Xenopus tropicalis: one gene and its partners. The protein of the gene in region 1 interacts with the protein of each later gene in a pairwise test. Links are inferred from orthologs where the notes say so. Each region holds a gene or a part of one and is shown on either strand. Other genes may lie near its edges.

The links.
Region 2: the proteins of golga2 (region 1) and pin1 interact in binary tests that used the Homo sapiens proteins (3 or more experiments, as listed by UniProt). The two-hybrid records come from large-scale screens. The link is inferred for Xenopus tropicalis from reciprocal best matches to the Homo sapiens genes GOLGA2 and PIN1.
Region 3: the proteins of golga2 (region 1) and kansl1 interact in binary tests that used the Homo sapiens proteins (3 or more experiments, as listed by UniProt). The two-hybrid records come from large-scale screens. The link is inferred for Xenopus tropicalis from reciprocal best matches to the Homo sapiens genes GOLGA2 and KANSL1.
Region 4: the proteins of golga2 (region 1) and znf410 interact in binary tests that used the Homo sapiens proteins (3 or more experiments, as listed by UniProt). The two-hybrid records come from large-scale screens. The link is inferred for Xenopus tropicalis from reciprocal best matches to the Homo sapiens genes GOLGA2 and ZNF410.
Region 5: the proteins of golga2 (region 1) and lcp2 interact in binary tests that used the Homo sapiens proteins (3 or more experiments, as listed by UniProt). The two-hybrid records come from large-scale screens. The link is inferred for Xenopus tropicalis from reciprocal best matches to the Homo sapiens genes GOLGA2 and LCP2.
Region 6: the proteins of golga2 (region 1) and arl16 interact in binary tests that used the Homo sapiens proteins (3 or more experiments, as listed by UniProt). The two-hybrid records come from large-scale screens. The link is inferred for Xenopus tropicalis from reciprocal best matches to the Homo sapiens genes GOLGA2 and ARL16.
Region 7: the proteins of golga2 (region 1) and gse1 interact in binary tests that used the Homo sapiens proteins (3 or more experiments, as listed by UniProt). The link is inferred for Xenopus tropicalis from reciprocal best matches to the Homo sapiens genes GOLGA2 and GSE1.

What each region holds. Positions count from the first base shown.
Region 1 is NC_030684.2:22,913,211-22,916,710, reverse strand, and holds part of golga2 (golgin subfamily A member 2), read left to right. Parts: intron 1-1,565; coding exon 1,566-1,653; intron 1,654-1,768; coding exon 1,769-2,115; intron 2,116-3,113; coding exon 3,114-3,227; intron 3,228-3,318; coding exon 3,319-3,500. UniProt on the Homo sapiens protein: Peripheral membrane component of the cis-Golgi stack that acts as a membrane skeleton that maintains the structure of the Golgi apparatus, and as a vesicle thether that facilitates vesicle fusion to the Golgi membrane.
Region 2 is NC_030679.2:136,777,622-136,780,224, forward strand, and holds part of pin1 (peptidyl-prolyl cis-trans isomerase NIMA-interacting 1), read right to left. Parts: coding exon 2,441-2,603; intron 183-2,440; coding exon 72-182; intron 1-71. UniProt on the Homo sapiens protein: Peptidyl-prolyl cis/trans isomerase (PPIase) that binds to and isomerizes specific phosphorylated Ser/Thr-Pro (pSer/Thr-Pro) motifs.
Region 3 is NC_030686.2:17,267,763-17,271,262, reverse strand, and holds the end of kansl1 (KAT8 regulatory NSL complex subunit 1), read left to right. Parts: coding exon 1-78; intron 79-842; coding exon 843-1,068; intron 1,069-1,450; coding exon 1,451-1,654; 3' UTR 1,655-3,159; downstream 3,160-3,500. UniProt on the Homo sapiens protein: Non-catalytic component of the NSL histone acetyltransferase complex, a multiprotein complex that mediates histone H4 acetylation at 'Lys-5'- and 'Lys-8' (H4K5ac and H4K8ac) at transcription start sites and promotes transcription initiation.
Region 4 is NC_030684.2:81,888,314-81,891,548, forward strand, and holds the end of znf410 (zinc finger protein 410), read left to right. Parts: intron 1-427; coding exon 428-609; intron 610-688; coding exon 689-778; intron 779-856; coding exon 857-955; intron 956-2,147; coding exon 2,148-2,269; 3' UTR 2,270-2,735; downstream 2,736-3,235. UniProt on the Homo sapiens protein: Transcription factor that binds to the sequence motif 5'-CATCCCATAATA-3', and is specifically required to silence expression of fetal hemoglobin in adult erythroid cells.
Region 5 is NC_030679.2:32,356,212-32,359,191, forward strand, and holds the end of lcp2 (lymphocyte cytosolic protein 2), read left to right. Parts: intron 1-991; coding exon 992-1,120; 3' UTR 1,121-1,742; exon of another isoform or gene 1,743-2,192; 3' UTR 2,193-2,480; downstream 2,481-2,980. UniProt on the Homo sapiens protein: Adapter protein primarily involved in signaling pathways within T-cells, as well as other immune cells such as platelets, mast cells, and natural killer (NK) cells.
Region 6 is NC_030686.2:27,583,082-27,585,284, forward strand, and holds the end of arl16 (ADP-ribosylation factor-like protein 16), read right to left. Parts: intron 1,484-2,203; coding exon 1,368-1,483; intron 1,277-1,367; coding exon 1,111-1,276; 3' UTR 501-1,110; downstream 1-500. UniProt on the Homo sapiens protein: May suppress the RNA sensing activity of RIGI in a GTP-dependent.
Region 7 is NC_030680.2:64,864,865-64,867,315, reverse strand, and holds part of gse1 (genetic suppressor element 1), read left to right. Parts: intron 1-97; coding exon 98-526; intron 527-1,345; coding exon 1,346-1,618; intron 1,619-2,451.

The DNA of each region.
Region 1 (3,500 bases):
GTGATATAATAAATAAATACAATAAACAAGTGCCCCGTAGAGCTTACAATCTAAGTGGTTGGGTAACATACAGGCACAAACTGGAAGGTAAGAGTGCACCAGGTATAAAAAATAATGTTTTAGTGCTCCAGAAGGTAACAGCTGAGTTTTTTCTTAAAGAGAGTGGGTGAGTGTTCCCTACGGAGGGATTCAGGGATAGAGTTCCAGAGGTAAGGAGCAGCGAGCTAGAAAGGTTTAAGACGAGAGAGCGCAGTGGATGTGGATGGTGTAAAAAGACGGAGGCTCTGAGAGGACCGGAGGAGACGACCAGGAACATGCAGGGAGACCAGTGAAGAAATGTTGTGAGGAGCAGAGGAGTGAAGGTCTTTGAATGTTAGTAGAAGGATTTTGTAAGCTATCCTTTGTTTAACAAGCAGCCATGCTAGAGAGCTTAAGTGAGGCTGAACAGGTTCCCTCTTCGGATAGAGCAGGAGGATCCTGGCAGCAGAGTTTAAAATTGATTGCAGGGTAGAGAGGTGGGAGTCTGGGAGGCCGGTTAGTAGGATATTGCAGTAATCTAAGTGGGAAAGGATAAGGGCATGTATTAGTGTTTTAGCTGTTACTTGTGAAAGAAAGGGGCGTATCTTGCAGGGCTGTGGAGTCGGTAGATAAATTCTCTGACTTTGACTCCGACTCCTCAGTTTCTGATACTTCCGACTCCGACTCCTCTGTTTTTAATATGCTAATGTATTTTATACATTCATTGAAGGAAAGGAAGGAGACATACATGTCATTTAACCACAGAACTACTGGCTAGGAAGCCAACACTCTACTGTATTGCCCAATTAAAGCAAAAGACAAACACAATGAAAACAACAAGGTTTTGTTTATTTTTTTTTTTAAACACGTGGCTGGATAGTAATAGCTGGCATAAAAATCAGGAACAGCAACTTTACCAGTTCAAAACAAACCACATTCTTTGGTAGTTTTAAGTTAAAACTAACTCAACGTGTCACTCAACGTGTTCGTTTATGCACTGCGTGCATTGGGCTTTATTCTTATAGCAGAGAAGTAATTAATTATGACTGTTTCTGAATTGGGACATTTAAACTTGCTTTATTTTATTTTTTTTTAATTCCCATTTAAATTTAGTAGGAGTCGGTTCATTTTTTGCCGACTCCCGACTCAAGGTACCCAAAATTGCCTTCGACTCCACAGCCCTGGTATCTTGGCAATATTGCGGAGGAAAAAACGGCAGGTTTTGGCAGTGTTATTTATATGGTTAGAGAAGGAGAGTGACTGGTCAAAGATAACCCCAAGGCAGCGTGCAGAATTTACAGGGTTGATGGTCATGCCATCAATAGCAATGGTGAAAGGAGGAGGAGGGCCAGGTTTGGGCGGGAAGACCATTAGCTCTGTAAAAGAGGGGAAAAACCTGCAACCCCAGAATTTTAAAAAAAAATGTGGGAACCCCACAAAAATACAATCTACCTTTTTAAGTAATAAACTCCTCTATGTAGAAATGTAAGTAATTTTAATATATGGAATCTGAAGCTGCAGTTAGAATGCTATTCTCTCATTTCCAGATCCAGACCTTGGGCCAAGAGAAACAGACAGCTCAGGTACAGGTAGAACAGTTGGAGACCAGGGTGACAGAGCTCCTGCTGGCATCAGGTATGTGCATGGAAGGAAACAAAGATGTCTTCACAATGAATATAGTCCCACACCAGCTTGGTGATGCTCTGCTTCACATGTTCCTTTGCCTTAATCCACTGCTTTGCTATTTCAGCTGCTGAACCAACAGACACTGAGCCCACACCCCCTGCCGGACCCTCTGAAACTGAACTGGCCCTCCACCAAGAGGTGGATCAGCTACAGCAGAATTTTAGTGATCTGCAGGCAAGGTATCAGGCCCAGGTGCAAGACAACAGTCAGCTGAGCCGGCTGAACCAGGAACAGGAAGAGCGGCTACTGGAACTGGAGAAGACGTTACAACGCCAGAGTGAAGAAAACGTAGACAAGCAGCAGATCCTGGAAAACATGCAGAGCGATAAAGCCACCATTAGCCGGGCACTGACCCAGAACAGGCAACTGAAGGAACATTTGGCCGAGCTCCAGAATGGATTTGTCAAACTGGTAGGCATGTCTCCCTATATGAGCTCTTATCGTCTCTTCTGTCTGAATTGCATCTTAAGGAAGCTATAAGATGTAGCAGAGCTGCTCATGGAGAGCAGCTGCTTCTCATTCTTGTCCTTTTTTTTCTCTCAAGTCTGAACCCGGAGTCTAAAGTTGGACAGAACAGCTGCATCAGCCTTATTGGTTTTAAAGGAGTGGTTCACCTTTGAGTAAACTTTTAGTATGTGATAGAATGTCCTATTCCTAGCAACACTGCATTTTTCGTTATTTATTTACTATATTCTTTCAAATAGGGGCCACTGACCTCGGCAGTTAAAAACTATAGCTCTGTGAGGCTACAGTTTTATTGTTATTGTGACTTTTTATTCCTTGTCTATTTATGAGGCCTTACCTGGTTGCTAGGGTAAATAACACCCTAACAACCAGATATTCACTGAACTGGAAAGCTGCTGGTAACTATTTAACAAGTTAAATAGCCAAAAAAACCATACAAAATCAAGACCAATTGCAGAATATCAATATCTACATCATCAAACTAAAAGTTTATTTAAAGGTGAACTACCCCATTAAGGGGCTGGGGGACAGGTCAGGTCCATTTAGTTATAACCTGCATACATAACATCAATAAGGAAATGAACATCACAGTGCAATGCATTGTGGGTTATGTAGTACCTGCATGCTGTCTGTAAGTTGTGGAGAAGTTGTTACAATTTGTGACATCAATGTTTTAGTCCCCCCTTTCCTGGCAGGATTTTAAATGATGCAGAAATAGGAACTGTTTGCATCTGGATTTCAGCATATAAAAATGGTATTTATTTATATAGGTTACAGTGATAGGTATATTAGGGGTTTCAGTGTTGTGTGGGGCTCTTTAAAACATTTTGGTACAGAAGCCAGAGTTCCGCTTTAGGTGTTTGCTTTGGACCTTCCATATATAACCCTGGTATGTCAATATATTGACTATGACTGATCCACTTACTATTCTGTAATTCTTTCAGACAAATGAAAACATGGAGCTCACCAATGCATTACAGAGTGAGCAGCATGTGAAAAAGGAGCTGGCCAAGAAGCTGGGGCAATTACAGGAGACCCTGGGCGATTTCAAAGAGCAGGTCAGCAATGGATGCAGTATCTATAAATGCTGTTTCATTGGGCTGTACATAGTGATACCAATTTGCTCTCTGTGTGTCCTTTCTTGACCAGCTGGCTGCAAAGGAGCAGGACATACAGATTCTGCAGAGTCAGCGAGATGAGGTCTCCGCTCACCTCCAGCAGTACAGTGCAGCATATCAGCAAGTCTCCATTGAGAAAGAGGAGATCCAGAGGCAGTATCTGCTGCAGGCTCAGCTGATGGACAGATTGCAGCACGAGGAGGTGCAGGGGAA
Region 2 (2,603 bases), on another chromosome or scaffold:
GTCATCCAAATCTACGTTACTATATAAAAATAATACATATTTCATAGCAGTGCTTCTTTATCTAAACTTACCTCTCCCAAAGCTGCCCAGATCCCCTCCAGCCTTAGCTGAGCTGCAGTCACTGAACCGAGAAGCAAGAGATTCAAAATCCTCATCCCCCGATTTTATCTTCTGGATGTAGCCTGGAAAACATGAATAACACTAAAACCACTGAAGATGTCTAATATAATGTATATTGGCTACGTGCGTAGAACTGCATTTTCTGTTTGCTGGATCTCCTTAAGTGGCAAATGTTTAATATGACACTGTGCCTCTGGCTTTGAATTACATAAATGCTGGAGGAAACATATTGAGGAAAGTTGCCACTCTGTACTGACCGCAGCCTCTTTTCACTTCATATCTACGAAGGGGTTGCGTTTGGCTTGGTGCAAACAGACCTGCAGCATGGCCAATGGATCCAATGCCGACTGCTTTAGTCAGAGTAGGATTCAAGAGAGGTGGGTGGGGAGGCACGCAGGAGCCCCCACACCCTACCTGCCCTTACTGTGCACATCATTCACATGCGTAAGTTAGGACAAGGCTAAGGAAGAGTAATAGGAGACAAATTATAGAACAGTAAATAATAAAAGTAACAGTAGTATTGTGGCCTCACAGAGCAGTGATCCTATCTGAATGCTGGAAATAATTCAAAATCTATAACAAAATATATCATTGCTGGGCAGAGACCACAGGCTCTGTTTGCTCTGGGCAAAGTAGAGATATTCTGTGCAATGGGCATTCCCACACCCTGGAGCAGTGCTGTCCAACTGGCGGCCCGCGACCCCCCTCTGTGTGGCCCCCCACCTGTCTGGCTGCTTTGATGGCTTACTCTTGTGTAAGCTTTAAATGGTATCAGTACTGAGATTAAATGGCCCCCTGCATGGTTCTCACCTCAGATTCAGGCTGTAATCCCTCTGTATTGTTTAAATATGTAATTCCCTGTATTGTTCACACCTTTTAATCTCTGCATTGTTCACCCCCTGCAGTGTTCACACCTCAGGCTCAGGCTGTAATCACCCATATTGTTCCCCTGTTCACACCTCCGGAGCAGTAGAAACCCACAAATAATCCCTGCACACTACAAAAAGAACATATACTGAGGTGGTACTGCAATTAAAAAGTTTTTTAATATATAGTTATTGTGCAGACTGTAGGAGCAGTGCCAGCATTGTGTCACTGTAGGCTGCCTGTGTGTGCCATACACACAGGCATCATAGGGCAAGCAGAGTATGGCACACACAGGCAGGGTAGGGAAGGCAGAGTATGGCACACACAGGCAGGGTAGGGAAGGCAGAGTATGGCACACACAGGCCAAGTATGGCACAAACCAGCCAAGAATGGCAAACACAGTGAAAGTATGGCACACACAGGCAGGGTAGGGCAGGCAGAGTATGGCACACACAGGCCAAGTATGGCACAAACCAGCCAAGTATGGCACACAGGCAGGGTAGGGAAGGCAGAGTATGGCGCACACACAGGCAGGGTAGGGAAGGCAGAGTATGGCACACACAGGCAGGGTAGGGAAGGCAGAGTATGGCACACACAGGCAGGGTAGGACAGGCAGAGTATGGCAGGTTTTTGCTGTACTACAACCATTAATATGGGTATGGTCATGTGATAACGTGGGTGTGGTTTCAAGTGGGTGCGGTTTCAAAAAGGGGAGTGGTCAAACTGGCTTCCATTATCGGCCCTCCACCGCGTAGGTCGGAAAAATTCCAGCCCTCGGTACAACAGAAGTTGGACAGCACTGCCCTGGAGAGAAGAGGTAAACTGCAATCACTGGTGTTATACCTACCTGGCACTAATTTTAGCTTGACTTATCCTTTAATTTACCATGTTACCCCTGAGCAGGCTTGGCGCGGCCTTATGCTCAGTACACTAGGGCTAGTGTGCCCAATCTCACAGAAGGAATTCCTGGGCAGGGCACTCACCAACCAAGTACCCAGGCCAGTATGGTTTTTTTTTTAAATTAAAGACAAAAGTAGCATATGCCTAACAAACTGGCACCCAAGGTTTTCTTTTTTTCTTTTAATATGAAATACTTTCAGGGCCCATGCCCTTCCTCCATAATGAACACCTGTACCCAAATGAACTATAACTCATCCTCCCTTGGATTAACGCCTTGAAATTCCCATGGTTTCTTGATTTAGCGTATGCAGACCAAATGCAGGAATTCAGGAACTACAGGGCGGGGAGTGCCAGAGTAACATAAAGCCACATTTATATAAAGGCAATATCCAGCTACCCTGTACAAAGTGTAGAGGAGAGAGTGGGACAGAATCACTCCAGTACAGTGGCCCAAGATGGTAAATACCATCTGCTGCTCTCCCTAAAGACTTACAAGCCCTAATTATGACATAGAGCACAGTCACACTAATACAGAAGCCCCTTCCTTACCCACCATTAATGTGCTCCAGTGCCTCGTCCTTGGTGCGAGTGATCCTGTCCTGCCTCCATGATGAAGGACGCCTTGACTGATTGTGCTTCACGAGTAGGTGAGAGCATCTCACTTTTCCTGGCTCCCCCTGGCCATTTTTCCCACCAGTAGTGGGCCTTTCCCATTG
Region 3 (3,500 bases), on another chromosome or scaffold:
TGAATTGCATGCAAAGTGCGAAGAACAGGAGCGGGCAAGATGGCTGAGCAGTGTCCCTCCCCAACGCCGCGGAAGCCGGTAAGAGGGATCTTGGCACTGCCTTATAATAAACAGTGTTTCCCTAAAACCAGTTATAACATGAGGCTCGTGAGTTAATCACATGGGTATATAGTTGAGTATCCATGTAGTATGACTGCCGTATGTGCCTGATGCCACGCCTGTACCAACAAATATCTCTCGTGCATGTGCCACATTCCATGGTTGTGTTTTGTGCTGGTTTGGTTGCCATAGTTACTTGCATGACATGAGTGTCGCTCTCCATGCTTGGAGCGAGCAATAAAGCTCTAAAAAGGTCACAGGCAAGTGAGCAAGCGTTCCCTTACTGCATTTCTGCACTCCCACAGGCAGCTGTCTGCAACAGGCAGTGTTCCGCGGGATGTTCCCTGCAGTAGATAGAATGTGGAACACTGCAATCTGCCTGACTCTTCCTATTTCCCAAGGATCCGAGTCCATGTACAGCTGCACCATCTGCTGGTGGCAGGAGGAATTGCAGGAATTTATTTGGCCTTTAGAGAGGGAAGGATCTGGTAACATCTAAAGCTTCATAGTGAGGATGATTTTGTTCAGGGCTCCCTGTGCTACTCCCCAGAGCTGCAACCTCCTTCAATTCAGTCTTTTATTCTATTGCCATATTGCTAAGTTGCCTCTTTCCTTTTATTGCTGTAGCAGCATATTGTGCCCTGGCCTGTGATTCCAAATATATAACTTTTACATTTTTCTTTCCCTTTAATTGAAACTAAACATTCCTTGTACTCACCATTGTATTCTTCTTCCCCTCTCAGGACTCACAGAACATCCGAAAGCTCGGTCACCCCTTCCGCTGGTACTCGTCCCCTTACACCCCAACCCTCCTCCCCTGACACAGGCAGTTGGCAAGCCATCCCCGATTTCTCCCCCCTCAGCCCAGATGTTCTCTCTGCTCCTCCCACCCCGACCTCCCGAGAGACCTCACGTCTGCTCTCTGAAGAGACCCAGAGCTCCATTTCTGACTCCGGACGCGAGGAGCTGGTGAGTCACGTGGTTCTTACACCTGACTGGGGGGGTTTAATGGAAAAGTTTAGAGGATTTATTTTGTTGGCGTTGTTCCTTCTGTCTTTCTGTTGGTTATTTCCTAAGCATTTTCCAGCCGGTCCTTTAATGGGGTGGCCCACCTTTAATTTAACTTTTAGTATGTTATAGAATGGCAAAAAAATACAAATAATAAAAAATGAAGACAAATTGCAAATTGTCTCAAAAGATGAACAACCCCTTTAAACCACAGGGTTAGTGGCCCTAGCAACCTGATAGCCGTTGCATACTGGAGAAATGCACAAAGGCCAAGTAGCACCAAACAGTGGTATATTAGTATTTCTAGCTGATATATCTGTACTGATTTACATCTCTTTTGCAGGCCGTTCAGCCCTGGGAACGGAGAAACTTCCCCCTTTCATACAGTCCCAAACGGGAACTCACAGGACCTTGTGAGCCCACAGACTGGGGAGGAGCTCGCCCGCCGCGCCGCCCTTCCTGCAGCTCTAAAACTGCCAAAGACCCAGAGGATCCCCCGTCCTCTCCCCCCTGCCCTGTCTCAAGGCCACGACCGCTCCACAGATAGGGAGGTGAGGAGAGCGATGCCCCTGATCAGAGACGATTTGGCTCCAAAAGAAAAAAATAAATAAAAAATCCAACTGTTTGATATTCAAACTTGATCCCCAGAAGTGTGCGCCATTTTCACAATTTTTAGTGAATTGAAGGACTTTAGGGGAGAATTTTCTTTTCTTTATTTTTGTTGTTTTGTTGCGGGAGGGGGACATGGTAACTGCTCTTTCCTTCTCTGGGTGCGGCTTCTGCAAAAGGCAGGCAGTCTGCAAAGCTGATCATATTGACACTTTTTCTGTTCCTATTGGCTGAGAGACCACCCATTAGCGCATTACTGCATTCCCACAAGCTTGTGTGCCGAAATGTTCGTTTAGGCCCCAGCGACCCCCTCCATCCCTGCAGTATAAAGCACTTAGTGTTCAGTGGGGAAACAGGACTTGTTTACAGATCTCCCCAATCAGAAACCTTAAGCTGGCCATGCACAGGCCAATAAAAGCTGACAATTTGATCCAGCAGATCAAGTCAGCAGATTATTGGCCCATGTATGAGGTCTCCTGACTGCCTGCCAGCAGTTAATCCATCTAATGGGAAAGTGGCTGAAAGGATTCTCTCAATGAGATCCTTTCCAGATAGGTCTATTGGGATTTGACCTGGTGAGTGGATGACCAAATTGGGCAAAGACCCACTTGACTTCTCTAACTACACAGATTTGGCCAACATAAGATTGCTGCCTATTAACCAGAATCTGGTTTCTGATTGGCTGGAAATCCTTTTTTTACAGTTGGTTCCCCAATCTGCTGATGTTATGCCCCATAATGTGTGGGAATAATGAAACCGTAAGGGCAGCAGGCTGGTGTTCTGGCCCTTTATTCGAAGCAGAGCTGTTGCAACCCCAAACCTAACTTCTTGCACTGTGTTTAAATGTGAGTGAGTGAGCAGTTACTGAGGATAAACGAACCCCTTCCTACTTGTCCTTGTTATACCCCCTGCCCCAGGTTTAAACTTGTTGTTCTTCAGTTCCAAGTTCTACTCATTTTAAGTCTTTAACCTGCTTTTCCCGTAATTCCTTTATTTTTCTTTTACTCTCTGTGCCAGTCAAAGGCTCTGTGGCACTTAATGGGTTAACACATTTTAAATCTCCCCCCCCCCCCCCCCCCCCCCACCCAATCTTTAAGCATTAATAAATGGCTTTAGTTCTCCGATGAGAATATACATTGAAACCAAGGGGAGAACTTTTAGCTTTGTATAAAGGAGATCATTAAAGAATTGTATTTTGTAAATAACTTTTTATTAGCTTTTCTGCCTATTTTGTTTGGGTTTTTTTTTTTTTCTTGACAGCATAAAGATGGCGGAATGGGCGCCATCCACTGGGTTGTATCTGCGGAAGAGGAGAAAAAAAAGTTAATGCATTTTGTTGTTGTTTTCAGGGTAATCTTTTCTTTGTTTAATGTCTATCCTGTTGCAAAAAAATAAGCACTGGGCAAAGTGCTGGAGAAAAAGACAAAAAAGGGAGAAAAAAAACAAAAAAAAAACAAAAAAAAAAAAACTGAAATAATAAACCAGTTAAACACTGTCCCTTGTCTGGCCTGTCATTGCTTACTTTCTATTGGTTAACTGCTCCTAGTGTGTTCCATAAGGGATTGGAAGTGTATCACTCATATATTATAAGGGATAATGTACCCCCTACTGTAAATGATAAGGATATTAGAAGTCACTGAGGGGTTCTGTGCCCATATAAAGGCACAAGGCTGCAGGCTGAGTTATACAGGGAACTCGGAGTATCACTCATGTATTATAGGGGATAATGTACCCCCTACTGTAAATGATAAGGATATTAGAAGTCACTGAGGGGTTCTGTGACC
Region 4 (3,235 bases), about 59 Mb from region 1:
AGCGAGTGAGATGGACCAGTTGAATTGTTTTTCTTGTATCTCCATACCCACACCGGGCAGCCAAAGGGCTGGTTATTATTCTAATTATTATGAATTATTCATGTATTGCCTGTGTAGCCTGCATACTTTAAAATGAATGATATATAATCTCTGTAGTCTCTGCCCCAGTGGTACTTACAGTCCAAGGTACCCATCAACTTTACACACATTATGGACAATTTTATTAGAAACTCATGCAAGCACAGGGAGAACATACAAAATCCTAGTAGATAGTGCCCTTCCTGACACTGAACCCAGTACTACAGGCAAGGCAGCAGTGTTTACCATTGCACTACCATGTACTGGTGGTTATATTTGCCAGTGATTATGTTATGGCTGTTAAAAGAAATGTATCCAACTTTGCTTGTGCTTCTTTTTTAATTTTTAGAAATGACCGTTCTTTTGCTTGCCCGTCAGAAGGTTGTGGGAAGAGATTCTATGTCTTACAAAGACTGAAAGTTCACATGCGCACTCACAATGGGGAAAAGCCTTTCCTTTGTTCAGAGCCAGGCTGCGGGAAACAGTTCACCACAGCAGGGAACCTGAAGAATCACCTCCGTATCCATACTGGTGTGTGTGCCTGTTTCTACAGACCTGGAATAGATATAAGGAAATATTTTTTTTAACCCCTGCACATATGTTTCTGCAGGAGAGAAACCATTTCTCTGTGAGATGGAGGGGTGTGGACGCTCTTTTGCAGAATATTCAAGTCTTCGGAAACACCAGGTTGTCCATTCAGGTACCTTAATTTATTTTCTTTAGCATCCAGTATTGCAGCATTGATTCTTGTGTTTAAGATCTTAATCTTGTTTTTCAGGGGTAAAATCTCATCAGTGCCCTGTGTGTGGTAAAACTTTCTCTCAGAGTGGGAGCAGAAATGCCCATCTAAGAAAACATCACTCGAGGAGCATTGATGGTAAGTGGATGCGTTGAAAACAGGGCTTGTCCTTTTTTATTATTTTTAGCCATCCGAGTATTACTGTAGGGAAAGGTTTTAAACAGGCAGTATAAATCAAGGATAAGAATATGGCATCTAATTTGTATCTGATTGCATTGCTGCTATTGTGGCAGAAATTAGGGAACTTAGTATTTTTTTTGTGTAGCGTTCCACCAATGAACAGCAGAATGAGTGGTGTATTTTAGGGTAGACATCACTTTGTGCTTTATAACTCTCTAATAACAAATATCGTATCACTTCTGATCTCACATTTTAGTTGAAACGTGTTAAAGAAATTATGAGTTCCATGATAAATTAAAGGTACTATGGTTTAAATCAAATACAAGCATTGTATTACTATTATTAAACAGTGAAAAATATAAAAGGTACTGATCTATTTAATACAATATAGGAAATATCTCCCCCGCCTTAATGGCATTATTTGTACTGCATATATCCCCCTGCCGTTTTTCCTCTGATACATTAGATACATTTAAATCTCAAACAGCATACACACACACACTCACAGACCCTTATTCAGCATATTTTTCATCAAGAATACAGGCTCACACAGGCTGAACTGTCTGATAAAAGTTCTGCTTTGTTTGAGCTGAGCTCAGGAGAGGAAGTTAGGAGAAAAAAATTGAAGCAGACAGCTAGAGCTGAGTTTCTATGGGAACCATCAATGCCATCTCTTTACTGACTGCTAGACTGGAGGGCGTTTGGTAATCTGAGCTGAGAACAACTGAGCATGCCCACAAGCCAACAGCCAAAGCAAATTCCTGAGGGATGGGGCTGAGTGGGTTACAGGAGGAGAAGGAAATCTAAGTGATTAAGGGATGTTGTAGCCTTACTATTAGCATCTGGACAACCAGTGTGGCAGGTATTGAAATATTTCAAAGAGGCTGTTCACTGATTAAATTTTTGTGTGTGGGGATTACATGTCCTTTAAGGGTTATTTCTTATTGACCATTCAGTGAATATTGTTTCATATATGACAACATGCTATACCTGTAACAGCCCACACTGGGAATATGAATGTTCTGGTGGACTCCAGAGGGGCTACTGAAAGATGCCTAGACATGTGCTTTATTAGGCCTGTTGGAGGCCATAAAGTGACAATGATCCAAGGATTTTAACTGTTTATGTTCATGGTTTTGTTGTTCTACAGACCAAAGTACCTCATCCCACTGTACACACACTGTGCAAGAGACTCTGCAACATTCCCATCTGCTTTCTGTGGGATCGGAAAGACAGTCATATGAAGAGGATGTGTCCATTTTGTTGAACTGAACCCATTTATTTAGACGACTTTTGTTCATTACAAGCATTTTTGTTGGTCTTTGTGGGATTACAAGTATTCCGTCTCTTAAGAACAAAGTATAAGCAAATTATGTTTCATTGGCAAAAAATGAACTTGCCTGCAGAGACAATGTGGAAAAACGAGCCTGGATTATATGAAAATAAGACCCTGAAGCAGAAAAAGCATGGTACTTATCATTCAGTGCAAGTTGATTCTGTGGCTGAAATAAGTTTCCAGCTTGGATTTTCGTCTTTGGGTTTTGCCTCAGTTGGTACTATTTCTAAAGTACAAGGACATAGTTTTGTGTGTAAACTTTTGGTTGCACACACAGGGCCCTGCTCCCAAACTGTGCAATCACACCTTCTCCTTTAATTTATATTCAGATTCATAAACTGCAAACCATCCAATAGAAGGGCTCATTAAACTGCACAATGAAAAATAAACTGTTAAACTGCAGATTTAGTTAATCGGTTTATTGATATTTAGTAAAACCCTGAGAGCTTTGTTTCTGGTATACCTATATAGTGTGAAATTACATGTGAATTGAATATCTCAGGATAGAAGTGGGAAGGGGTATTCACTTGTAACAGTTTTGTGGCTAATAGTGTCCAAGGGATATGATCAGTTAGAGAATATTTAAAAAAAAAAAATGAAAGCCAATTCAGTAGGCACAAAAAGACTATATTCTCTGATGTGTAATTATATAATGGCCATTTTCCTGGCCAAACCGAATCCTAAAAATCACGTGACTTTTTGTCATATAAACACTGAAGTTGGAAATTTCCGTAACCTAATTAGCATATGTTAATTCGGATTTAGTTTGGCTTCAGTTTGCTGTAACTGTTTGTTTTTTGATGTAAAAAGACCAGACGATTTTTCCTTTTTGATGTAAAAAGACCAGACGATTTTTCCATTGCAGTCTTAAGCCATACATAGGCTGATTCAGGCCCTTCAGA
Region 5 (2,980 bases), on another chromosome or scaffold:
CATATCAATGTTGTTTTTTGATTTTGCTGCCTCAATGAAACAAATGCTTTCTAAACAAAACCCTTTTATTTTTATTATCAATTCGTGAAGTACTAGTTTAGCGTTAACTATTCTTCTAATTTCTCTGGAGTTTGACTATGCATTGTTGTTGGCCACAAGAACTTAAAGGAACAATTTGTGGATTAAAGTCTCTCATTTTTGGTTTTATTGCAATGCGATCTATGTGGATCATGAATGCTAACTTCTGCTTTCAGAGTGCTTCACTGCATTTCCAGTTACAAGGAAACAGAAATGGGGGCCTCAAATATATATAGTCAAAAATAATCATAATTTAGCAGTCCATTAAGCTATGTTTAATTCTGTATGAAGTTAATGTAAATTATAAGAAAATGGCAGAAAAAAAAAATATCATCATGTGCTGGCAGCCCTCATTGTGCCGAGATCCTAGTCTTAATCAGTTAAAGGTTCTTAACCCCCCATTTGTTGAAATTTGTAAAAATTTCCATTACACTACATTTTGTAGTGTAACGCTGACCATAGATACTCGGTAGGGCAGTTTGGCCATTTTCCACCATACTGCCCAAACATCAAGGATTATTGGAACTGATGGAAAGTTTCTGTTAGTCGCCCATAAGGTAGTTAAGCCTCAGCTCTGTGGCTCCTTTATTGCAGTGTGCATAAAGTAGGGGAATGGAGATATAGCGCATGGAAATTCAAGTGTCAAGGTGATACAGGGAAGGGCTCTTTATCATCCCCAGTTAGAGTTTCAAAAATTACAATGAAATGATGCAATATCTTGAACTTTTCATTGAATGCGCACTATATTCTAAAAACACTAAAGCTGGTTGGTTAAATTTTCCATAATTCCACGCTGCTGTCTTGGGGTCCCACCAATATATAAGGTATAATGCATTTCCCTGATTTTACACCATTTTTTCTGGTGATTTTCTGTAATTTGCTAATCGTTAACAAAATTCCCTGTTTTTTGCAGACCTTTACTTCAGTGGAGGAAATTATTGACTACTTTCATAAAACACCACTTCTTCTTATTGATGGAAAGGATCAAAGTTCGAGGCAACACTGTATGCTTACATTTGCTGCTGGTTGCTGCCTAACTTAACAACAAATAGTCATCATTTACTCATTGGTGAACACTGGTTATTGTCAAGCTTTCCAAAGGATAACAGTTACACCGTTCTTTTTAAAATTTTTAACTCAGTTTTTCTTTTTTTAAATGAAGTTTTTCGAAGCCTGAAGGCAGGCATACCATCAAATTGCTTTTATTCATTCCGATATGGTGGTAAAACCATATTGCTCCAACAGACTCGGCAACATGCAAAGTGAATATTCAGTAATATCTAAATTGTGTTGCGACATCTCTTAACATTTGATAAAAGAAATCCATAACCTGCTCCTATTAACTGTGTGCAATATAAGATATGACTATGCAATGAAATGCAGCAAGTGCCGACTATAAGGACAGAAAAAAAACAGCTTGTGGGAATCTGTATTTCAGTGTGTTGTTATACTAAGTAACTGCTATTTCTTGCTAGGCTGCTGATGCCACTGGAGTTCTTGTTAATAAAAAATTTGTGTTTATCTGTACATACTATTGGGCATTCAGCGAGTAGTTTCACAGCAGTAATGTTTATTGCAGTAATGAAAAATACCACTCGTAGATAACACAGGCTTGGTGCCACACAGAGCAAACCTGAGAATGATTGCACTGAGTGTGAAAAGTGCTCTCTATTAGTGATGAGCGAATCTGTTCCGTTTCGCTTCGCCGAAAAATTAGCGAATCTTTGAAAAGATCCGCGAAACGGCGAAAAATTCGCGAAGCGGCGAAAATGTCGTGCGACAAAAAAAATTGTCGCCCGCGGCTATTATTTTGTCGCGCGCGGCTCTTGTTTTGTCGCGCGGCTCTTGTTTCGTCGCGCGGCTCTTGTTTCGTCGCCCGCGGCTCTTGTTTCGTCGCGCGGCTCTTGTTTCGTCGCCCGCGGCTCTTGTTTCGTCGCGCGGCTCTTGTTTCGTCGCCCGCGACTATTCTTTTTTGACGCCGCAACAATTTTTGGACGTGCGGCGAATTTTTCCGCGGCGAAATTTTTCATCCGTTTCGCGAAACAATCCGCCAATGGCGAAACGCGGAAATTCGCCGCGAATCCATGCCTGGCGAAACTTTTCGCCCATCACTACTCTCTATTAATAAGCAGAAAGTTCTAAAGCTGTTTGCCACAACTAATTGTGATGAATGGCCATGTTTGCTACACAGAGTTCACTCAAGCTCTTTTTGTATACCCTAACCCAGCAAGAAAATATTCTCATGATACCATCTCCCCTGAGTTCACCAACAAATGCTGTACTAGGGCTTTGAATTAATTTCACTGTGCCATGTTACACAATTATATTGTATGGATGTACTCATTTGTTTTAATATGTGTACAATGGAATGAAGCAATCCTTAATAAATGCTGAGAGAATATTTGAACATTTTTTCCTGCTAGTGGCGGCTTTGATAATATTAAAAGACTGCTTTATAGAGTGCGTCAATACCATATGTCTTGCACTGAACACCATAGGAAGGATATTAGAAACGGCGTGCATTGTTTTTGTACCACTGTACAGATTGCTTTCGGTAAGTCACATCTGGGTAGATTCCAGTGTAATCAAGGACACTGATATTATAAGGAATTATTATTAAAGTTTTATTATTAAAAGCAATTACCAATAGCCCAGCAACTCTAAGTTGCCTGGTTCACATATACTTCTTCTACAAAAAAGTAAAAATCAAAAGCCATTTATGCGTGGAATACAAAAAATTAGTTAAATGCAAAGCATGGGCAGGAGCAGAGCAGCCCTGTCTTTACTAGCTGCCATAGGGCAGTAAGTACCCGGCCCAGGTACAGACTTTACCTGCTTGGCACTTTCTGTCACTTAGAATCACAAGTTAGGGAATAGGGAGTGCGTGGGATGCATCTGCTTT
Region 6 (2,203 bases), on another chromosome or scaffold:
ACCACACAAACAATCAGGTAGTAGGTAGGAAGGTTTTGCTACAACAAAAGGTTAAACTTATGTATGTATGTGGATTTTTTTTTACCCACAGCTATAATACAAACTCACTAATCATGTTACTAAATCATGTAGAGGAAACAACCCTGCAACTGCTGGCAGGGCAGTGCCATGTCAGGACTCCTTGCTACCATCAGGCAGCCAAGTCAGTGCTGCCCTCCAACCTTGCAGTCAGCACCTAAGGTTGGAGATCTTCTATGACTTCTAGCATAATACAAAAGCAGCCACCTGGGTTCAATAGCTTCCCCATAAAACCCTTTTTGGGAACCTGAAAATCATGTTATAAAGGTTGTGTTGAACTGATGCTGAACTATTTTTGAAATAACATCATCCAAGTGCATCTAATTAATGCAACTACTGTCCTACTACTGTGTGCATGTGTAGGTTACTGCTCACTAGCAGCACATCAAAAAGCTTAATGATCCTGCATCATTTTTACAATTAAAGGTTTACACTTTTATTACAATTTTGTATTAAAAAAACCACATAAAACATATTCAACTTTAATCATTTGTATTAATGTTCATAATTGTAATCATAGCTTATCAAATAAGACTCTTAATTCCAGCTGAAAGAGGCTTTGACCTTCAATGGACCCATTCTTAATATGTGGTAACTGTAAATGAGTGACAGTGGAAAGTGGATGGAGAAAGTGATGCCAAAACTTGCAGCATCTCTTCTTATGTTTCTGTTAATCCCGTACCAATGTTTGTAAGACCCTGGCATGGATAAAGACATGGAAATGGTCCCCAATTCATGCAGGAAGTACTGCTTCAGTAAGTATCAAAGATATCCTTGGTTGTATTTTATCTGGACACATCAGGCTGAATGTGGTTGATACCTAAATGTGTGCAATGGATGCAAACTCCTTCTGCAGAAAATGCTACTGTAAACACATAGACACACTTCTTCCCATTGTTTCTCTGCTCCAAAGAAAGGGAAAATGGCTTCACTGGGACAGTGCTAAGAATGTTTTGCCCAGGAAACACTGCTGTACATCCAACATTTAAGTGGTGCATTCTGCATACTGTTTCATTGCCAGTGAAGGGAATGTTATTGAGCACAATTGGAATGCAACCAGTGCATAACATCTTGTAAACCAGTGCCATCTAGTGAGCTTGTTTGCAGGACTGAAATTTGTTGCTTAGCACAAGAAATGATGTCATCCATTCTAAACAGTGACTTTATTTCCACCAATGACATATAGCATGGCAGGTCTCTACAGGGAACAAAAATGGAACTTATTAACTACATGCTTAGTCATAGTCTAAGAATAATAAGTCAATAAGAAAGAAGGCATAAAAACTTACATCTTATTAAAAAGAATCAGCACTGAAGCAGACACCAAAGGCTCCGCAGACAGCACGGCCAGAAGCTGGATACATGATGCAGACACTTGGTTTGGGTTAGCAGCATCAACCATAAACTAAAATAACATGAAAATCACAATATATGAATAAAACAGAATACATTAATTCAGTGGTATTCAGATGAAGCCCTTCAAAAATTAGTGGCACCTAAAGGATACTGAAATTCAGACCAGGCCAGAGGCCCCCCCTTTAGATTAGAGGAATGGAGCTTCCATTTGAAGCAGCATAGGTGGTTTTTCACGGTGAAAGTAGTGAGGTTGGGGAATGCCCTTCCTAGTGATGTTGTAATGGCAGATTATGTTAATGCCTTTAAGAGGGGCCTGGATGAGTTCTTGAACAAGCATAGTATCCAAGGCTATTGTGATACTAATATCTACAGTTAGTATTGATGTTGGTATATATGGTGTATGTATGTGAGTGGATAGATAGGTCAGTATGGGTCTGTATGTGAGTGGATAGATAGGTCAGTATGGGTCTGTATGTGAGTGGATAGATAGGTCAGTATGGGTCTGTATGTGAGTGGATAGATAGGTCAGTATGGGTCTGTATGTGAGTGGATAGATAGGTCAGTGTGGGTCTGTATGTGAGTGGATAGATAGGTCAGTGTGGGTCTGTATGTGAGTGTATAGATAGGTCAGTATGGGTCTGTATGTGAGTGGATAGATAGGTCAGTATGGGTCTGTATGTGAGTGGATAGATAGGTCAGTGTGGGTCTGTATGTGAGTGGATAGATAGGTCAGTATGGGTCTGTATGTGAGTGGATAGATAGGTCAGTG
Region 7 (2,451 bases), on another chromosome or scaffold:
AGTCATAGCATAATGCTGTATGTTTATCTTTTTTCTTTTAGTTTTGTGCTGTTTACAACAAGTTAATATTTAAATAAGTCTTGTCATATTCTTTCAGCCGCAGTTTCTGAAGAACAGGTGGCATCGCAAGCTTCTGTAGAGTGTGAAAGGCCACCATCTCTTCCTTCCACATCAGGCACAGTCCCACTACCAGAGCCAGTAAAACTTCCAGAGGCCTGTCGATCAGATCAGCCTAAGCCTTTGGATCCCATTAAGGTCCCTCCTCTGCCTATTGCTGCCCCATCTACTGCTTCAGGCACATCAGCCACAGAGAAGACAAAGCAAAGTGAGGTTATGCCTGGAAAACGGAGTCTTAGTATCTTGAACTTTGTACGGGGGCACCCGCCCAAAGAGAGCACTGTATCACCACCTCAGAGTGTGAATGGAAGAACCAAGTCTTGGGGGCCATTTATAGCTGAGGAGTTTGCTCACCAATTTCATGAGTCTGTATTACAGTCCACTCAGAAAGCCCTGCAGAAGCACAAAGGTAAGAGCAGATTTGATCTATTTTAATTTAAGTTATGTGTTGTTATGCGTTGTGGGCTTCAGAAGTAGAAGTTTAATGCAGGCTGAAAAGCAGAGTGGGATTTATTTGGGCCTGATCTGTATGTGTCAGTCTAGACTACATTGCTTGAATTTTTACTGTGTATTAAGTCAGCCATTCCAGACCGAGTCAGCAGCTTATTGGCACAAGTATGGAGCCCCCCCATCAATCTGCCCTACTGACTTCTAGACGAAAATTATTGGGATTTTCAAACTGCTCTAAGTAAGGACTACATAAGCATCAGGGGCGATTCTGGACATATCGCCACCTGAGGCGTCTCCGGGATGCCGCCCCCGCTCCCCAGTGCTTACCTTCTGAGCGCAGGAGCGGGTCCGGGGGCGGTGAGATCACTAGTGCAGAGAGCACAATTAAAAAACGGAAATTCGGCTCTTAAAGTTACCAGGAGCGGCTTTTTGCCGCCCCTGGTAACTGGGGCGCTTCTGCCGCCTGAGACGAGTTTCTCAACTCGCCTAATGGCAGAAGCGCCCCTGATAAGCACATTGATGCAGTTTAGGCCCAGATTTAGTTGCTAGCCTAGAGGCCAAACAATCGTTTCAGCCTGATTTGGCCCAGGGCGACTGTAGGCAGGAGAGTGAAATCATTTCAGTGTGCATTATGTCACTTCTGAAACCTGGTACCTAGGGTGGCACCAGACCTAAATACAGCCCTGCATGGATATAGTTTAGATTAAATGTTTGGTACTGTCTTCTTGAGTGAGACTTGTGCAGTAGTATAAACCTTATTTTTATTCTGGGTTTGCAGGAGTTTCAGCTATGCACTGTGCAGAACAGAACCACAAACCCGATGCATCTGTTCATTATAACATTCCTGAGCTGCAACACTCCAGCCGGCCAACAGCACTACATCAGAATGGCCAGCAAGTGTCAGGACAGTCAGCAGTAGGGCGCGTGCAAACACAGCAAGCAACAAGCTCTGAGGAAGAAACAACTGATGAGGAGGAAGAAGAGGAGCCACCCAGGCCTAAGTGGCAGGGAATTGAGGCAATATTTGAAGCCTATCAGGAACATGTGGAAGGTAAGATTGCACTTTAATAGTTTTTTTTTTCTTTTACCTAAGATCTCATTTATTGATGACTAAAGGTGGCTGTACAAGGGCAAATTTCAGCTGCCGATTCGGGTTCTTCAGATGGGCCTACCAATCCAATATCTGGCCTAAAATTGGCCAGATCTTGATCAGGCAGGTTTGATATTCCTGTCAGATTTGGGGACCATGTGGTCTCGTTGATTTGGTCCAATGGGCCAAATACTTTTATATAATTTTGATTCAGTGGTTTGGCACTAGGGCCAAACAATCAAAGTAGCCACATATCACCCACCTTAGGTGGCCATATCAGGAGAAGATCCGCTTGTTAGTCGACCTTCCACACAAGCAGATTTTACTGTGTATGGCCATCTTTTAACTTGTAGCAGACTATGCACCTTTATTAGACAAACCCTGAAAGTGTCATTGTCATCTTTGAGTAGAATTGCTAACATACTCTCATGAACTTTCCATTCGATAAGCAAAAAGTGGAGGCTCGGCAGAGCACAGTTTCAGTCCCTTTCCCTGTTGTTTTGTACAATGAAGAATAAGCTGCCAGGAAAAGATATCAAAGAATTTCCCTCACCTTTAGTAGAACCTGTTACTAGCTCATTGCTGCTTTAGTTCGTGGTGACGTTGGGCTTTATTCCTAAAAATTCCAGTGAAAGATAGTGCCTTGAAGGAAGGAGAGAGGGGGCAGCACATGCATGTCAAGTAGAGAGATTTGTCCTGCTGGGCAAATGGGAAAGTACTAAGTACTCCATGTCAAAAAAGCCAGTTAGGCTATATCGCTTGCTATTGTGTGGCCTAACCCAAGTGTGCAACCA